4 linked regions of the Kluyveromyces lactis genome follow. The protein of the gene in region 1 purifies or fractionates together with the protein of each later gene. This does not show direct contact. Links are inferred from orthologs where the notes say so. Each region holds a gene or a part of one and is shown in the gene's direction. Other genes may lie near its edges.

Region 1 (6,046 bases):
AATTAATTTGACCGCTTTATCCGTTATAGAGAACGGACAAGGGAATTATTTGACAATGCAGAGTAATGAAGGCAAGTCTTTGGTGTCTTAAAAGGAGTTCAGAAGTAAGTCAAAGTTTGTGATTATTTACCATGTTAAGAAGTGCTTTCAAGGGATCGTTTCCTGCTAAAGTCGGTGGTTTCAGAACGTTTTCTACTGTACCAGCCAAGATCTATCAATTTGAAGACATTCAAAAATTAGTTGCCAAGCCTGATCCGCACAAGGTTCTAGTCGATGTGAGAGAACCTAGTGAAGTGAAAGAATTTGCATTACCTACAGCTATCAATTTACCTCTAAAGACTGCACCAGGTGCGTTGAGTTTGGACAATGAGGAATTTCAGAAGGTTTTCCATATCCCAAAGCCTTCTGCGGATAAGGAGTTGATTTTCTTTTGCGCTGCCGGGATTAGAGCTCAAGCAGCTGAAGAACTAGCTAGATCTTATGGTTATGAGAAGACTGGAGTATGGCCTGGTTCGATCAATGAATGGCTGCAGAGGACCCAACCAAAGAAATGATTTGTAATGTCTTGTTCATTTTATTTTTTTTTGTTGTATCCATAATGAGAGTGATATGATTTGTTTGCATCTTCTTCCAAAAAATAACTGGATAAAGAGTAGGCTTTCATTTTCCCGAGTGATCCAGTTACTTTACTTAGCTGATGTGGTATAAATTTATTTGAAATCACGACTGTTCTGTCCCTTTCAGACTCGATTGTCAAATCTATGGTCCTAGATTTGGGTTCTATCTAAATTATTCCCGTTAAATCAACTATATAGAGTGGCCTAAATTTGAAAACCTGACATCTATACTTTATGTACACATAATGAAACATCCGTTTCAATAAAGGCAATATCTCTTTGAAATTAATGAGTAGAATGCAATTGATCCGATCGCATACTTTACCTCTTATGAAATTCGAATTGCTTAAATTCTTTACCTAATCTCTTCTTTCTCTTTCTATCCATTACCTTTTCTCTTTGTTTACCCTTCATGTGCTCGAACTTCCACTTTTGTATTACCTTCCGCTTCTCTGAATCCTTCAAATGGTATTTATTCTTGTTATTCTTGTTGATTTCTGCTTCATAATCCTTTACAATCTTTTGTTCCATTTCCATGACTTGCACCGTTTCTAATCTTGATTTCATCCTTCTCACCTGCTGCTCCATTTCACTCTTCTCTCTGTCGCTGATTTTACTTAGGAATTTTCTATCATGGAGCATGCTATCCAATTCGTTGATCTCTTTTTCTCTGTACTCATCCAAGAACTTGTATCGTTGACGGATTTTTGCCAAGTCTTCTGACTTTCCCATGGCTTTATCAAACCTGACATCTTGATAGATGGATTTACTCTTATTATCTTCTAACCCAGGAATCTTTCTCATGGAGCGCACTTTCTTCTTTGACGATGATTCGGTTGGTGCGTGCTTTCTTTTACCTTTCTTCTTTTTACCATTCTGATTAGCCTCATCGTTTGATTCTTCATCGAAAAAGCCGCCATCACTATCAGAATCACTTTCTTCTCCGAAAGATTCTTCTGCAAACATTTTGATAGACTGTGACTTTTGTTGTGCTTCTTCTTCCTGTAATCCGCTCTGACGTCTCTGTCCATCATCAAGTTTCCTTTGTTTCTCAGTCAACTCTCTTGATTTTGGCTTATTCAAATGTTTCTTCTCACCATTCGCTTTGCTTTTGCTTTTTCTGCTGGTTTGTTCCTCATTGTCCATCATTTCATCAGCTTTCTTCAAAGATCCAAATGAGAGTGTCTTTAGCTCATCTTCGCTTTGTGAACCTTCTGCATCACTTGTATCGTTTATTCTTATGATTGATGCTATGTCATCTTCCTCATCTTCGTTTCCTGAATGAAGATCTGGCTTGATATTCTTGAAGTAAAATGACATTTGTATATTACTGGTAGTTTTTGTGGCCGTGGCTGCTTACAGGTTAGTTATCAGTCGCTTCTACATAGAAGTTCTTCTTGATTTTAAGTTTAGCTCATCGCTTCTGCATTGGCACCGTATAAAATTTTCAATATCTGGAAGAAACTTGAAATTCCTATTCAGGCGATGTAAATGAATAATGGACAGGAAGGGAGCTTCAAATAATAAGGTCTGTGATCATACCAACAGCGTTGACTCAATTTAATCCACTGAAGCATTGTAGTGTTTTATATCTTATACTACATTAAATTTCTTTTACTTATTGTTATATATACATGAATTTTGTGATGGGTATCTCGTCACAAGAAATCATTGAGATTCAATACTTTCCTTTAGGGCCAATTTTCTTGAATGACGATCAAAGTAGTTCCCTAGTTCCATGAAGTTCATACTGCTTGGATCAGCTTCCAATTCAGTTTTATCTTTGAAAGTAACTTTCACTGTAGGTTTCTTATTAGAGCCAGAAACCAAAACTTCGTTTTGCAATTGTAATCCACTTGTTCTTTGTGAAGGAGGAATAGCACTTAAGAACAACCTAGCTGTCTTGGCTGTAGATGAAGATAAATGAGACGATTGATGTTTTAATAGTAAAACAACCGTAAATCATATTATGTTAGTAATGGTGTTCGGTAGTTTTAAATGATGTCCAACTAATGATTTCTCTTTCTTTGAAGACATACCTTCCTTTCCTAATGGATTGAATTTCACAACTGCCTTAGTAAAATATTTCGTGATCATGTTGCTCTATAGTTCTCTTGACAACAGCTGACAAACTCCCAAGTATTACTCTGATGAGACGTCCTCATCCAAAAACATACTTCACAGCTGTATTCATCTCTAGCTTTTTGCCTAAAACTGTTTAAATGGTAATAGCGATCTCATCAGAGGCTATACTATTACCCGGATAGTTTTTGAATGTTTTTGGGCGATGTTTGACGAAATGAAAAATATTGAAAGAAACATCCAATTGCAAAATGAACAACTTCAATATTTGCAAATGAAGCAAGACTGCTTTTAGCACAATCGGTTTTTAGGATCCTTGGATTGTTATTTAAGGTCGATATAAGGTACTCGCCTTTAATTGTTTGCAGGTTGAACTAAGTGCGGGTTGTTTTTCATTCGTTTATTCAATTGTAACAGCCGTTGATACGGTGAATCTATTGGCAAGCTTTTTAAAAAGGAACTATTCATATTCGAATTGGACTTTCAGTTTGATTGTAACTATACTTTAACTTGATCTTATTGCCTGAAGGACCAGTATCTTTTTTATAGAAGCGAAATAAACTACAGAGCCATGTTTTTCTTCAAAGATTTGTCGTTGAATATAACGCTTCATCCATCATTCTTTGGACCTCAGATGAAGAGATATTTGATGACAAAGCTACTACAAGAGGTGGAAGGAACATGTACCGGTAAATTCGGATATATCCTATGTGTTTTAGACTGTGAAAATATCGAGATTGAACGTGGACGGATTTTGCCTACGGACGGGTCAGCAGAGTTTACTGTTAAATATAGAGCTGTGGTATGGAAACCTTTCAAGGGAGAAGTTCTTGATGGTATCGTATCTAGTTGTACAAACTTAGGTTTTGAAGTGGAAGTTGGACCTTTGTCTGTCTTCGTTTCCCCTTTTTTGATGCCAGAAGATTTGACTTTCAACAGTGGTTCCAATCCTCCATCATATCAATCATCAGAACAAATTATTACTAAAGGATCTAGAGTAAGATTAAAAATCGTCGGTGCAAGATCGGAAGTCAACTCTATTTACGCCATTGGCAGTATCAAGGAAGATTATTTGGGGGTGATATGATATTTCTTTCCTAGAACCTTTCACATTTTTCACCTAATCGCAACTATGACTATATATAGCTTTGGACATAAATTTCCAAATTCCGGTCATCATTGTTATCTGCTTCATTTGTGAGCATTTTGTATAATATAAAAGAACAAACTAATTTAACAAGCAGCATGGTCAATGTACTTTCTTTTTCTCAGCAATTAATAATAGCGTCACATTAATTTTTTGATTGTACCAAGCACAAACTGTTACAAAAATATCTGTTAAAAGCATATACATTGTTGAGAACTTTCACATGAATCAATTGACATATGACGATTTGTGTCAATGATTCTATCTTAAAGATATCACAAATAAAATAAAATAAAATAAAAATAATAACAAGAATCCCTCGTTGAATTGCATTTGATTCAAAGGCGCTATCTCAAAATTAAGAAAACACAATCCGATGGTTAGCTTCACCGATTCTTCAGTGGGTTTTTGGGACGAAAGAGTTTAGGATAGAATTATGAGTAAAAATTGAAAAGTTGGTTAATTCATGGTATCATTAGTTGTTGTGTGGAGCTCTTGCAGGCTGGAAAAAAAAATAAAAAGAAATTGAGGAGTCATTTAATTGATCTTATTAATCTTACGAACCCTTCTGAGCAAATAATGGCCACCAACTCCAGTTTCCACATCTGTTTTTACCCATGTTCCTTCATAATTACCGTTTTCAATTGCATCCATCACAGTTTTGGTTTTAGTCAAATAGAAGCGCTCATTTTCTTCAATTTTGACAACACAATTGTGCCATGGTGTAGGAATATGCAACAAATCTTCGAAAGTTGGTTCCTCTTCGTTGTCTAAAGACCTAATTGTTTTACATTGTAAAGGTGAAATGATTTTAATTCCGAATTTTGGTCCGCTATTGGTATGTGCGTGAATCGATAATCTCATATGATGAGGAAAAACTAATTCTACTAAGTTCGAATAAGCGTCGTTTCGTTTGATCATTTCAAAGGCAACTTTAGCAACGACCTTTTTGAAGCCTTTCCTCGATATGCCTTGAAAAAATGGTAATAGACATAAGTCTTCAGTCATAAACTTCGAAAATCCTCGAAACAAATGCAATCTTGGATGATCTGGAATGTTTAATTGTTTCTTCAATCTCCCGTTTTCAGTGTCACATCCCTTCATCAATATCTTTCTTGATAACTCAGAGTCAGGACAGATCTTAGTGCCAGTGTAATGTGGTAGTTCAATTTCCTCAACCCATCTGGGATCAAATGATTCACTACTCTCACCTTCAAAGAAAAGATCTTTCAAACCAGCAAATCCTATAGCGTCAGTACCTGGTTCTGCTAATGATCTATAAAGACCATGCAAATGAGCTGTATATGAATCGACCACATCATCATCTACGCCAATGCAATCACTGAAGACGTGCCCATCGCTAACAATCCATAATTTCATCCCAGGAGGATAGAATTTAGAAATTTCCTTGGTTGCATTGATGAGATTCACAAAGGCTAACTCTTCTCCTTTATCTGGGACGTCACCATGGACCTTTTTCAAATTTGAGGATTTACAAGGGAACGCTGGCAAAATACATTCGATTCTTTTATGTCTGGATGTGAAATAGCAAACTCTTTCCTTAAAATATTGTCTACCATTCATTGTAATCCATTCATCGCCCTGAATTGTATTCTTCAAATTTCTTTCGAAGTACTGGGTGAAAAGCTCTGCATAGTCGACCTCAGATTGCACGCTAGGTTCAGAGCTATATCCAACATGAATTTTGCATAGAATGTGATAAATGAACCAGGTATTAAACGAGTTCTCATTTTCAACAGTGGTAATTACACCCCTGATTTGATTCTCATCACCAATCTGATATTCAGATACCTTAATTGCAACGTTATGGAATGGGGTCATTCTGTGGGATTCTTCTGCAGTTATCTCGACTTCCGTCACACCATGCTCATTGATTTTTCCGGTCTTTTGCTTCAAAATATTGCTCAATTCCTCCCAGTTTTCGGTAAATTGGCAATTCTGTTTGTCCTGGATGCAATATAGTTCATATGAATACAAGTTTCTTGTATACAAACATAGGAATTTGGAATATGTGGACATATCATTCTCAGTTTGGCCATGGGAGATGTCCACATCAAAATATGGGTGATGAGCCTCTTTTATGATCGGTAACGTATCATTCGTCATTTTTTGAATTATTGTCAATGCACTTAATAAACGATATTCAGCTCAATTATCAGCGGATTCTGTGGCTTGCTTA
Region 2 (4,498 bases), on another chromosome or scaffold:
AACGGTTCACAACGTGTAACACCTCAGCCATCACCTACCATTGCAGAATATGAAGAATACCCATGGTTTTCCCCGTCACCAATTGCAAGGGATCAGCCAAGACCAGAGAAAAGAATACCCACACCAATATCTTCTTACACCACAGAAAAGGAAAGAAGAACGCATTTACAGTCTGAAATATACGACGTTGACATGAAACGAACCGTGAATCGACTCATCGACGAGGACTCTTTAAACGACGCATTCGCAGATCTAGTAATAGATCCACCAAGCTATGACACAACGGTCTCGAACGAAAAGCATGGCGAAATTGTAGAAGTTAATATGGCTTCTCCCAGAAAACAGCGCAATAATCAAAATCAAGAACTATTACGAAGGTTCACGTCCTACACTCCACACTACAACCAATGGTTCCAACTACAAGCGTGCCAGATCACCACAGAATCCGAAAACAAGGTGATCCATTCGATGAAGAGAGATTTAACGTACGCAGATCAAGATCCATGCAAAAAAGATAAATCCACATCAACGTTACTCATCTCGCTCAGATCAAGAGAGATCAAACAAGTCACTATCGTGAGAGACACAAATAACAGATTCATACAGAGAACAAAGAAGATATTGCAAAATGGGAAAGTGGGTCCCGTCTCGAGGGCAATGCTCTCAGGCATAGAAACGACAGACCAGCATTTAAAGAAACTCATGGAATGCAATAACGACAACGAGGCATTAGTTTCCCTCTTCAACGATATAGTAACGTGTGCCTCAACATAGGTTTAGAGAGTTTGGATCACGTGTCACGTCACTATATACGTTGTGATGAAAATCAAGCTTTCAAGGCTACCCAAAATTTTTGAGAAAGCTAATGGTTCGGGTCTCTGATGCCCTATAAAGCTTTATTCAGTTGGAAAATGTTGATTAATCACTAGGTTTATATGTATTAGATTGCTGTTTTTGGTTGTCAGATCTTTTGAGAATTGTTCAGTCGGGGGACTTAGGCTTTAGGCAGGGATAAAATCTACAGTGCTGTTTTGTTGTAGCATAGTATATAGAATTGGAAAAAAAAATTAAAGCATACTTGGGGAAGACAAGGAACGAAAGATAGAGAATAGAACATTGGTGTGATTATTTGATCTAATATAACATCTTCAGAAGGGCTATCACTCATATTAAGTTCTGTGTGATTATCAATTGTATTTTTTTGTTTGTTAATATTATGACGGAAAGCGGTAATGGAATTGTTAATACGAGGCAACCGAAGTTGTTTCTCGATGTTCCGGATATGACTTCTGAAGCAAAGAAAACGTACGCTGAGCTGGATGTATGTACGTATACGCCTAAAAACTTGGGTGATTCTAAGCATGAGTTTATGGAATGTGACTGTTTTGAGGAATTTCGGGACGGTTTAAACCATGCGTGCGGTGAGGATTCTGATTGTATAAATAGAGCCACTTTAATTGAGTGTGTGAACGGTCTTTGCAAACACTCGTGCGGTACTGACTGTCAGAACCAAAGATTCCAGAAGAAAGCGTATGCAGATATATCTGTTTTCAAGACGGAGCGGAAAGGTTTCGGCGTCCGTGCCAATTCTGATATTGAACCACACAACTTTATTTATGAATATATTGGAGAAGTAATACAGGAGGAAGAGTTTCGTAACCGGATGGTGAAATATGACCAAATGGGATTTAAGCACTTCTACTTTATGATGTTGCAGACCGGACAGTTCATTGATGCTACGCTAAAGGGGTGTATTGCCAGATTCTGCAACCATTCTTGTAATCCTAATGCATACGTTAATAAATGGGTAGTTAACGGGAAATTAAAGATGGGTATTTTTGCCAACAGACACATCAGCAAGGGAGAAGAAGTGACGTTTGATTACAACGTTGATAGGTACGGTGCCAATGCACAGCCATGTTACTGCGAGGAACCAAACTGTATTGGATTCCTTGGTGGTAAGACTCAAACTGACGCGGCATCGCTATTGCCTCAAAGTTTTGCAGATGCCTTAGGTATAAGGCCGTCCATGGAGAAAAAATGGATCAATATGATGAAGGCCAAGGGTGAGAAAATAGCTAAAAGTGACACCACAACGGTTAACGTCGACTTCGTTAATTCTTTATCACTAGAACCCTGTACGAAGACTGAAGATGTTAATCGTGTGATGAGTGTATTATTACAGATAGATGACGCCTTCATTGCAGAAAAGCTACTTGAAAGGATCACTTTGACTGAAGATGAAGCAATGCATTATCAGTTCATCAAATTGCATGGTTACTTGATCTTTAGTAGACTTATCACAATGTTTGAAGATAAGCCAGACATTATATGGAAGATTTTAAACTTCTTGTTAGTTTTACCCAAGACAACTAAAAATGGTATAATTCATTCTGGAATTGATAAGAAGGTCGAACAATTAAAGAATACTCCTAAATTTGAAGTGATATGTGAAGATCTATTAGAGAAATGGTCCAAATATGAAACTTACACCAGAATCTCCAAGAAAGATATTTCAGAAAATAGCAAAGTTATAGATTTACGGCGGATACGTTTACCTATCGGTTGGGAAATCATTCATGAGAATGGCAGACCAGTGTATTATAATGCTCAAAGGCAGATCAAACAAGCCAATCCTCCAACTGATTCTGCTTATAGATCGAACTCAAGCCATAACCTTTCTGGAGTTTCTGATCCTAAATCGAGATCAGCAACACCTTCTTCAAATACCAGTCGGTATAGTGGGTCTGTTAAGTACATACCCACGCCTACTTATGGCCAGATGCAGCAGAAAAGAACGCTATCTCCAGAAGAATACGAGAAAAGGAAAAAATCGAGAATCGAGTGGGAACAAAAGGAGTTAGAACTAAGGAAATTAATGGAGCAAGAGACTTTAAAAGCAAAATTGGATCAAGAAACCCAAAAGAAGAGCGAATTGGAGAGAATCATCGAGGAGGCCAATAAACAGAAAGAACTTGAAAGGCTTCAGAAATTGAAACAGCAACAAGAGGATGAAGAAAGGAAAAAAGTAAAGAAACAAGCTAGTCATGTCAATGCTATCGAAAATAAATGGGTCAAGTTCTTCGCTCAACATGTTCCAAACTTAATTAAAAATTACCAAAAGGACGTGGGCAAAGATGTTCTCAAGGAATCTGCTAGAAACATTGTCAAGTCTCTTGCCCAAAAGGAATTGAAGAAAGACAGTTCTAGATCACCACCTGAAGAACTCTCTAAAGAGAAAAGAGCTAAAGTTAAAACGTTTTCGATGCAGTATATGGATCGATTGGTTGCCAAGATGAAAGAAAAGAAAGAGAAGAAACGTTGATATCAAGTAACATTGCAAACACTTTTGTATCAATTCCATGTCATACGTTACATGATAGAAACTTTCAAAGGCCAAGAAGTCAGAAGAAAGGGGGGCAGTCCTCTCATAGCACAGGCTACCGTACCCCTTATGCGCATGTATATAGTTTGATTCGTCCCTGAAAGCGCCGTATGTTATCGAGTTTCTTGTCTTTGTAATTTCCATAATAGGAAGATTCTTTGACAATTATCAACTTGACACATGAAGGTTTAAAGAAAAAACATGGACGTCGAAAGAGAGTTATTTTACAACGCGCTGGAAACCCAAGTATATAAGCTGCCGGTAAGCCAATGTAATCTTGAGATGATTTCGTTAAGATATCACTATTTAAATGCATATCTAAACGTCTCTCTGCCGTGTTAAATTTAAATTTAGGCAGTAATAAAATTCATACTATTCGGACAATATGAGTACTTTTGGTTCGACTTTTTATGATTCTGTAGCAAAGAACTACATATGTGAATGTGGAAGTTGCAAGATAGGAAAAAATGTAGAATTTTACATGGTTCGTTTCTTCATCATGGGTTTTGTTTTACCCGTGCTATGGATCCTTAACTTAATGTTGTACCTTTATGCCAACTGGATAATCGACCACAATGTTAGGGTCCCGGAACTTGACTCTGAAACCTTATATACCGAATATGAATGCCAACAATGGAAACAGCGCAGTGTCACATCACTAAACAAAAGTATTACCAAGGACTTCTACGCTATTAACAACCCATTGACATTTTCCATGCTTACTTTAAAACTACCAGATCCCGTACCATTGACTACGTATCAACATCTCTCTTTGCCTGATCCAACGAAGGGCAGTGATGAAAAAAACCAGTTTTCGGAAAGCGCTACTACCCTGGACGAGGGTGCAACAGACTCCTCATCATTTGAGACGGAAGACGGTGGTACCAAATCCATAGTGACAGCTCAGTGTCTAAAAGAAATCGCTTCTGAACTAATGAAAAATCATGACGTTAATGCAAGAACTATCAGGAACTGGTTTCTGCGTAGCTTATGTGCAATGACAGGGTACACAATATCCATTATAATGATAGTAGTTATCGTTAAGACTAACAGCCAACCGGCATCGTACCGAGAATGAACATATGCATTACTCGTCCGCATTATACAAAAGAA
Region 3 (3,105 bases), on another chromosome or scaffold:
TATGCGCTCTGATTCTGTTGAATTTGATAATATATGCGTGCTTGATCCAATCCACTATCAATTCACTTCCAATTACTGTGACAATCGGCCCTATAAATATACCAACTATCAAGGACTGTGTAGAATGAACATTCCATGAGTGTGGTAAAACATCGCGCAAGCTCTTTCTTGCTACGATAAAGTTTCTCACTGCAATGACCGTTAGAAATACGATCAACTGGAATCTTTCCACGACGTCAGCCATAGTCAATTGGAACAATCCTTCTTTATCAATTCTCTTGAAAACTGCAGATTTTAACTCTGAAAACTGCATTGACAACAGTAGCGTCCATAAGGAGTTAGAATACGAGTTTACCGCAACGTTCATGGCAAGAATCTGGTAGATGTATATCAACGCGTGGAAACTTAAACATAAACAACATGCAATATATAGCATTACCATCTCTGTCTTATGTTTGGCACTCTTCTTGAGCATGATAATTGAATATAGATCAAGGCCAACACTTGATAAGAGCTTTTCTGTCATCTCAAGAACCTGAAATATCATGTATAGTTTAATAGCATTTTGGCCCTTAATTTTATGATATATTCTTGAGGTGTCAAGGACATTCAATATCGAACAGGGTCCAAGAATCATCGCAGTAGTAAGAAGCTCTTGTCGTATTCTTTTAGGACCATCTCGTTTCACCACTAATACATGGAATACCCTAAGTGGTATAATGGTAAAGTAATACAAGAAGCAGTTCAAACAAGTCAATATCGCAAAGACAAAGAATTGCTCGACTTGGAATGGTACCCTCAGTATGTTCGCAATCTGCTCCAGATCATATTCAACAGACTTCTCACTCTGATCACATGGTTCCTCTTCGAATACCTTGGCTGTTTGGGGAAGAATCTCCTGGTATATAAAGTTCTTTATCGATGATGACACCGTATTCACGTCTTGTTCAACCGATACCCTTCTCCCAGCACCAGAACTGCTTTCCTTAGACCTCGCCTTTCGCCTTTTGAGGTGGGCTTCAGAATCCTGTGAACTCATTTGTTGAGGCACAACTGACCGGTTAGTGCTAAGGACCTTACTTCGTCATGGATATTTCTTTCTTCTGTTGTTGTTGTCTGCTCGAATTCGATCTACATTGAATTAAAATAAAGTCCTTGCTTAAATCACATCGAAGGGTTGATAGTGCCAAAGTAAAGAAGGTAAACTTAAGAAAAGCACATGAATAAGGGACCTCATACAGCTGCTTGACCAACTACGACCGTGAAATAATTTACCAAAATAATTAGACTATAGCAATGGCTACCATTGAAGAAATCAAAGAGGTTGTATTAAAACCCTATACAAACCATCGACAATTGACCATAAGGGAAGTGGAAACTATAAGTATCAATTTAATAGACTTATTGATTACAAAAGACGTGAAAGATGCAAGGACGATGAAATACATTTCAAGGTTCCTTACCAAACAGGATTATGCGGATCTAGTCCAAGAAAGGAACTTGGTGAAGCGTTGTGGATATCCACTCTGTAGCAAAAGCCAGGCGAGAGTACGTGATCCCTTCGCAGATGTACAGATGACCAATTTCTTAAGACAAAATAACCCATATGCATACCTTACAGAATACTGTACTAAGGCTCATTTTAGATGTTCACAGTTTTACCAGTTTCAGCTCTCAGACGAGGCTTTGTTTGCTAGGGTCGGTGTACATCTTGACGATTATGAGCCACCTAGTGAGATACAATTGCTCGAAGAAGTACTAGCTAGAGAGTCTGATGTTAAGCAGATGATTCGTGGTATGACTGATTTGAAACTCGCGGACGATGATAGTAGAGAGGAAATGGAAAGGGATATCAGTGACATGTTAGCTGATATTAAGATCGTAGAGATCAACGAGCCAAATATCATTGGAGATTTAGGACGAGATAGATGAAATGACAGAATGATGACAAGTACAAACATATTTGAGGTAGAGCATTTTGACTCTATAACTCAAAATATATGGACAATCCTGCATTATATAGTCATACATAAAATAGTTTTATTTACGATTTAACTTTCACTAATTGATCTGGTCTAAGGAACCTCCATTTAACAAGCAAAGCACCTAAATTTTTCTCTTCGGTAAATGGGTTTGTCGTTGGTAACTCTGCTTTCAAGCCCAAGAATCGTTCAAGCCTTTTTTTATAAAGTCTTTGGTTCAGTTGTTTATAATATTCATATTGTTTTCCGTCAATTAAGTGATCTCTACTTTCGGTGAATTTACGCTGTGTATTAGCATTTATCCGGTTGAGAATGTCCATATCTTCGAGGATTGGTTTTATCCAGTCGATGAACACTGCAGGGATGTCATTGGACTTACCACTCTTTATCTGTGTCACGACGTCATTGAATTTTCGTGAACATGGTTGTTTGTGAATCAATGTATATTCCCATTGTGCTTCTTGAAATGCATAGAAAAGTTTGGATTCACACTCCCTAAATCTATCGAGATTATCTTGAGCTCTAAGCCGTGCCTTAATTATGATTCCTGTCAATTTCTTAGACTGGCGTGCCTTCCTATTGAATGGAGATCGTATGAACCAAATTCGGGATTGGCCAGCGTTGGTGTAGTTAATAGAAACTTTAGGGGGGCCCTTGGCAATGCGGTACTCAATCCTGTACAAAATTTTACAGTATCTCTCGTGGATTGCAAGAGGTCTGAGTAGCTCGTCGATATGTTTACGAGGTATCGTTTTAGTCGGACCATATATTTTATAATATCTAAGAAGGTAGCGGTATAAATCACCATCACCAGGAATAGGTGCTAATCGCTTCTTTTTTTCCCTTCGACTCTCATCCCCCATATTTTCAGTTACCACCACACCAGAAATTGGTTTGTTCGCTTGCTGCAACGGTTCTGGAGCAGGCTCGATCTGCTCTGTGTATTTGTTCTTTAGAGCAACTAGCTTGATTATATCATCGCCGACAATATACTTATTCAGATGAGAGAGATCCTCCAATAATCCACGTACGTACCAGCCAGCTTTATGATTTCTGTTACGTCGTACTGCTTGTCTCAATGTGTTCCAAAGCTCAATCTGGAGATTATCAGTGGGTACGTTGG
Region 4 (2,690 bases), on another chromosome or scaffold:
GGTTATACAGTCTCACTTGTCTTCGGTGCTATTTATGGTCTATGGACATTCGTCGTGTTGTACTTCTACAAGAGACAAGAACGTAGACATGCATTGGACAACGGTATCATCTTGTACAACTCCAAGATGAGTGAACCAATACCTAGTTTCGTTGAATCTGAATTAGTTAAAGAGGGAGAGTACTATTATTTAAAGAGCGAAACTAATGAACCTGAACGTGTATATAACTAATCTAAACGGAAGAGCACTAGTAACCACATACTTCATTCCTCTCCCTCGTATATAATAATAGATATTATTCTCTTCTAATATTCTAATCTACCAGTCCGATCTTCTGTAACTCTTCTTTCAAAGTACCATTCCTTTCAAATCTCGCTAACTCTGATTCAGTACCCCAAACCTTACCATCAACGTACAAAGTTGGCAAGTTTCTTGAGCCAGTGGCCTTTTGAAATGCATCTCTGATTTCATTCCATTCGGATCTACTGTTAGTCACTTCAGCAATATCATAATTGAAGATCTTGTCCGTAACGCCGAATTTCTTCCATATGGAATTGGAATATACACAATCAGGACACCATCCCGCACTCAATTGAACAAACTTGTGAGAAGAAACTACTTCACGGGCGATAGCAATATACTTAGACATCCTCTGTAAATTGACTAGTTCTTTCCTGATGATATGAGAATTACTTTACCGAGAATAAGCTACATTCTGTTCACATTTGGGGGATGACCCTCATCTTATATAACAGAAAGGTTGAAATCTTCAAGTTTCTTTTGAAAATCTGACCTTTAAATATTCATTAAGACCATCCACAGTTTTTCCGTGCTGAAACTCCGCCATTCCCACAGAAAAGACACCGTTGATGCCACTAAGAATTGAAATACGGTAGTATGTCTCTAACGCGTGCGAACAGTTGCATCTAGTAAAGGGTATAACATGATGTAGTTTCGTTCCCTGTATGTGGCATTTTACTCTGTTTGGGGTATTATACAGATTTGTTGTTACCCTGATTATGATCTTTATCAACGAGCATCGATTCTCAGTTTTCCAATTTGAAAAAGCTGTAAGCATCAAGCTACATACTCACATTAGGTAAGTTAATGCGATCTTTTATGGGTAAGAACCAGTTCATACGTTGTGATTAGAGCTGGAATCAAAGCCTCAATATATATAAGAACATATCATCGAAAAGAGTGGGGAAATGTCAACGGACAGAGCTTGTATGTTATGTGGACTGGTGCAATCGACTGCTGAATTCAATAGGAATGGGTGCCCGAACTGTCAATCGATCTTTGAAGAGGCAGGTGTTTCGGCTGTTGAATGTACTTCCCCATCTTTTGAAGGTTTGGTTGGTATGTGTAAACCTAGCAGGTCGTGGGTAGCGAGATGGATGAGTATTGACAGTTATATTCCAGGAATGTACGCTGTCAAAATTGATGGTCGTTTACCAATAGAGGTAACGGAACTTTTGCCTCACTATAAACCGAGAGATGGAAGTCAAGTTGATTAATTTTAAGCACTTGTTAAGCACTTGTCTGTTTTAGTTTTTTTATGTTGAAATCGTCATGGGGCCGTTTTGGTGCCCCCATTTATTAATTTCCTCTTGCATCCTATAAGGTGGCTCCCTTATTACATGTATATTTATCCTTCGAAATATATCAAATGTTCTGTACTATATCTATTAAACCAAAAAAAAAGTTGAATTGAAAAGCGCAATCGCTGTATCAATCTATCTATATCTATGTTACCGAATATCTAAAGGATCTGGCGTAAAATTGGTGGTTGTACCCCATGTCCACTATGATTTTTGATCATTTCAACATTTTTTGTCATTTCAAAGATCATCCATTAAACTACAATTTTCTATCAAATGCAGTACATCTTTGCTCGCCTTGAAAGGTGAAGTAAAGAGTCCAGATTGAGATTGGATCGGTATCTTGGGGGTTTTACATCAACTATGTTACTTCGAAGATTACCTGCCGTACATTTTGCGAAGGGTTCGAGACAATTTGGATCATTGCAAGCTATTGCTGATAGTTTTGTACAGTTACACGATGCCTCTGGAGTACCATGGTTAGTACTCATACCAACTGCCACTTTTGCATTGAGAACGGTGTTCACTTTACCACTAAGTATATGGCAAAGGAAACGTATAGTGAAGCAGCAAGAGCTTCGGAAAGTTGTGCAAAGTGTTCCCCCTGTGGTGAAGCTAAGATTGGCTTCGATGACTGCGAAGGCTAATGACGAAGAATTGACAAGTTCTGGTAGTGCAATACAAACTAAAGAGGAAACGGTCGGAGCGCTTCAAAGAGGAAAAAGGCAGTTAACGCCAGATCAAATAACGATGTTATCGTTGAAAGAAATGCGTAAGAGACAAAAAGTTTTATTCAAAAAATACAACGTACAGATGTGGAAGAATAGTGTTCTACCGTTAGTTCAAGTCCCTCTATGGGTGACTATGTCAATGGGGCTTAGGAAGCTTACTGATAGTAGGTTAGTGGACACAAATATGCCTCACGCACATGTATTACAAGATCTTTCAGAGACAAGTTGGTTAACTCATATAGGTTCTTTAGACCTAAGTTTGCCCTTGGACGCAGCACCAATGCTAATACCCATCATTTTAGGAACCGTTTCGATGATCAATGTTGAGTATAACGGTAAGACGATGCAAGCAACTGCA

Evidence for each region. The genes of interacting proteins can lie anywhere in the genome.
Region 2: the proteins of RPB7 (region 1) and SET2 purify together in Saccharomyces cerevisiae (affinity purification with mass spectrometry; 3 studies listed by BioGRID, with this or other methods). This does not show direct contact. The link is inferred for Kluyveromyces lactis from reciprocal best matches to the Saccharomyces cerevisiae genes RPB7 and SET2.
Region 3: the proteins of RPB7 (region 1) and RTR1 purify together in Saccharomyces cerevisiae (affinity purification with mass spectrometry; 5 studies listed by BioGRID, with this or other methods). This does not show direct contact. The link is inferred for Kluyveromyces lactis from reciprocal best matches to the Saccharomyces cerevisiae genes RPB7 and RTR1.
Region 4: the proteins of RPB7 (region 1) and SPT4 purify together in Saccharomyces cerevisiae (affinity purification with mass spectrometry; 4 studies listed by BioGRID, with this or other methods). This does not show direct contact. The link is inferred for Kluyveromyces lactis from reciprocal best matches to the Saccharomyces cerevisiae genes RPB7 and SPT4.

The regions. Positions count from the first base shown.
Region 1 is NC_006039.1:592,920-598,965, reverse strand, and holds RPB7 (DNA-directed RNA polymerase II subunit RPB7), read left to right. Parts: upstream 1-3,270; coding exon 3,271-3,786; downstream 3,787-6,046. Other genes in the region: KLLA0_C06864g (rhodanese-like domain-containing protein), read left to right, coding at 132-554; rRNA-processing protein RRP36, read right to left, coding at 939-1,937; MRPL44 (mitochondrial 54S ribosomal protein mL53), read right to left, coding at 2,286-2,524, 2,657-2,714; DIT1 (Dit1p), read right to left, coding at 4,384-5,973. UniProt on the Saccharomyces cerevisiae protein: DNA-dependent RNA polymerase catalyzes the transcription of DNA into RNA using the four ribonucleoside triphosphates as substrates. Component of RNA polymerase II which synthesizes mRNA precursors and many functional non-coding RNAs.
Region 2 is NC_006037.1:594,837-599,334, reverse strand, and holds SET2 (histone methyltransferase SET2), read left to right. Parts: upstream 1-1,216; coding exon 1,217-3,325; downstream 3,326-4,498. Other genes in the region: LST4 (Lst4p), read left to right, coding at 1-774; ASG7 (Asg7p), read left to right, coding at 3,771-4,463. UniProt on the Saccharomyces cerevisiae protein: Histone methyltransferase that trimethylates histone H3 'Lys-36' forming H3K36me3. Involved in transcription elongation as well as in transcription repression.
Region 3 is NC_006042.1:1,172,768-1,175,872, forward strand, and holds RTR1 (RNA polymerase II subunit B1 CTD phosphatase RTR1), read left to right. Parts: upstream 1-1,296; coding exon 1,297-1,932; downstream 1,933-3,105. Other genes in the region: EMP65 (Emp65p), read right to left, coding at 1-1,039; RRG1 (Rrg1p), read right to left, coding at 2,045-3,105. UniProt on the Saccharomyces cerevisiae protein: RNA polymerase II subunit B1 C-terminal domain (CTD) phosphatase that dephosphorylates 'Ser-5' of the CTD and regulates RNA polymerase II during the transition from 'Ser-5' to 'Ser-2' phosphorylation.
Region 4 is NC_006038.1:705,348-708,037, forward strand, and holds SPT4 (transcription elongation factor SPT4), read left to right. Parts: upstream 1-1,208; coding exon 1,209-1,517; downstream 1,518-2,690. Other genes in the region: VHT1 (Vht1p), read left to right, coding at 1-231; glutathione-disulfide reductase GRX8, read right to left, coding at 314-649; membrane insertase COX18, read left to right, coding at 1,965-2,690.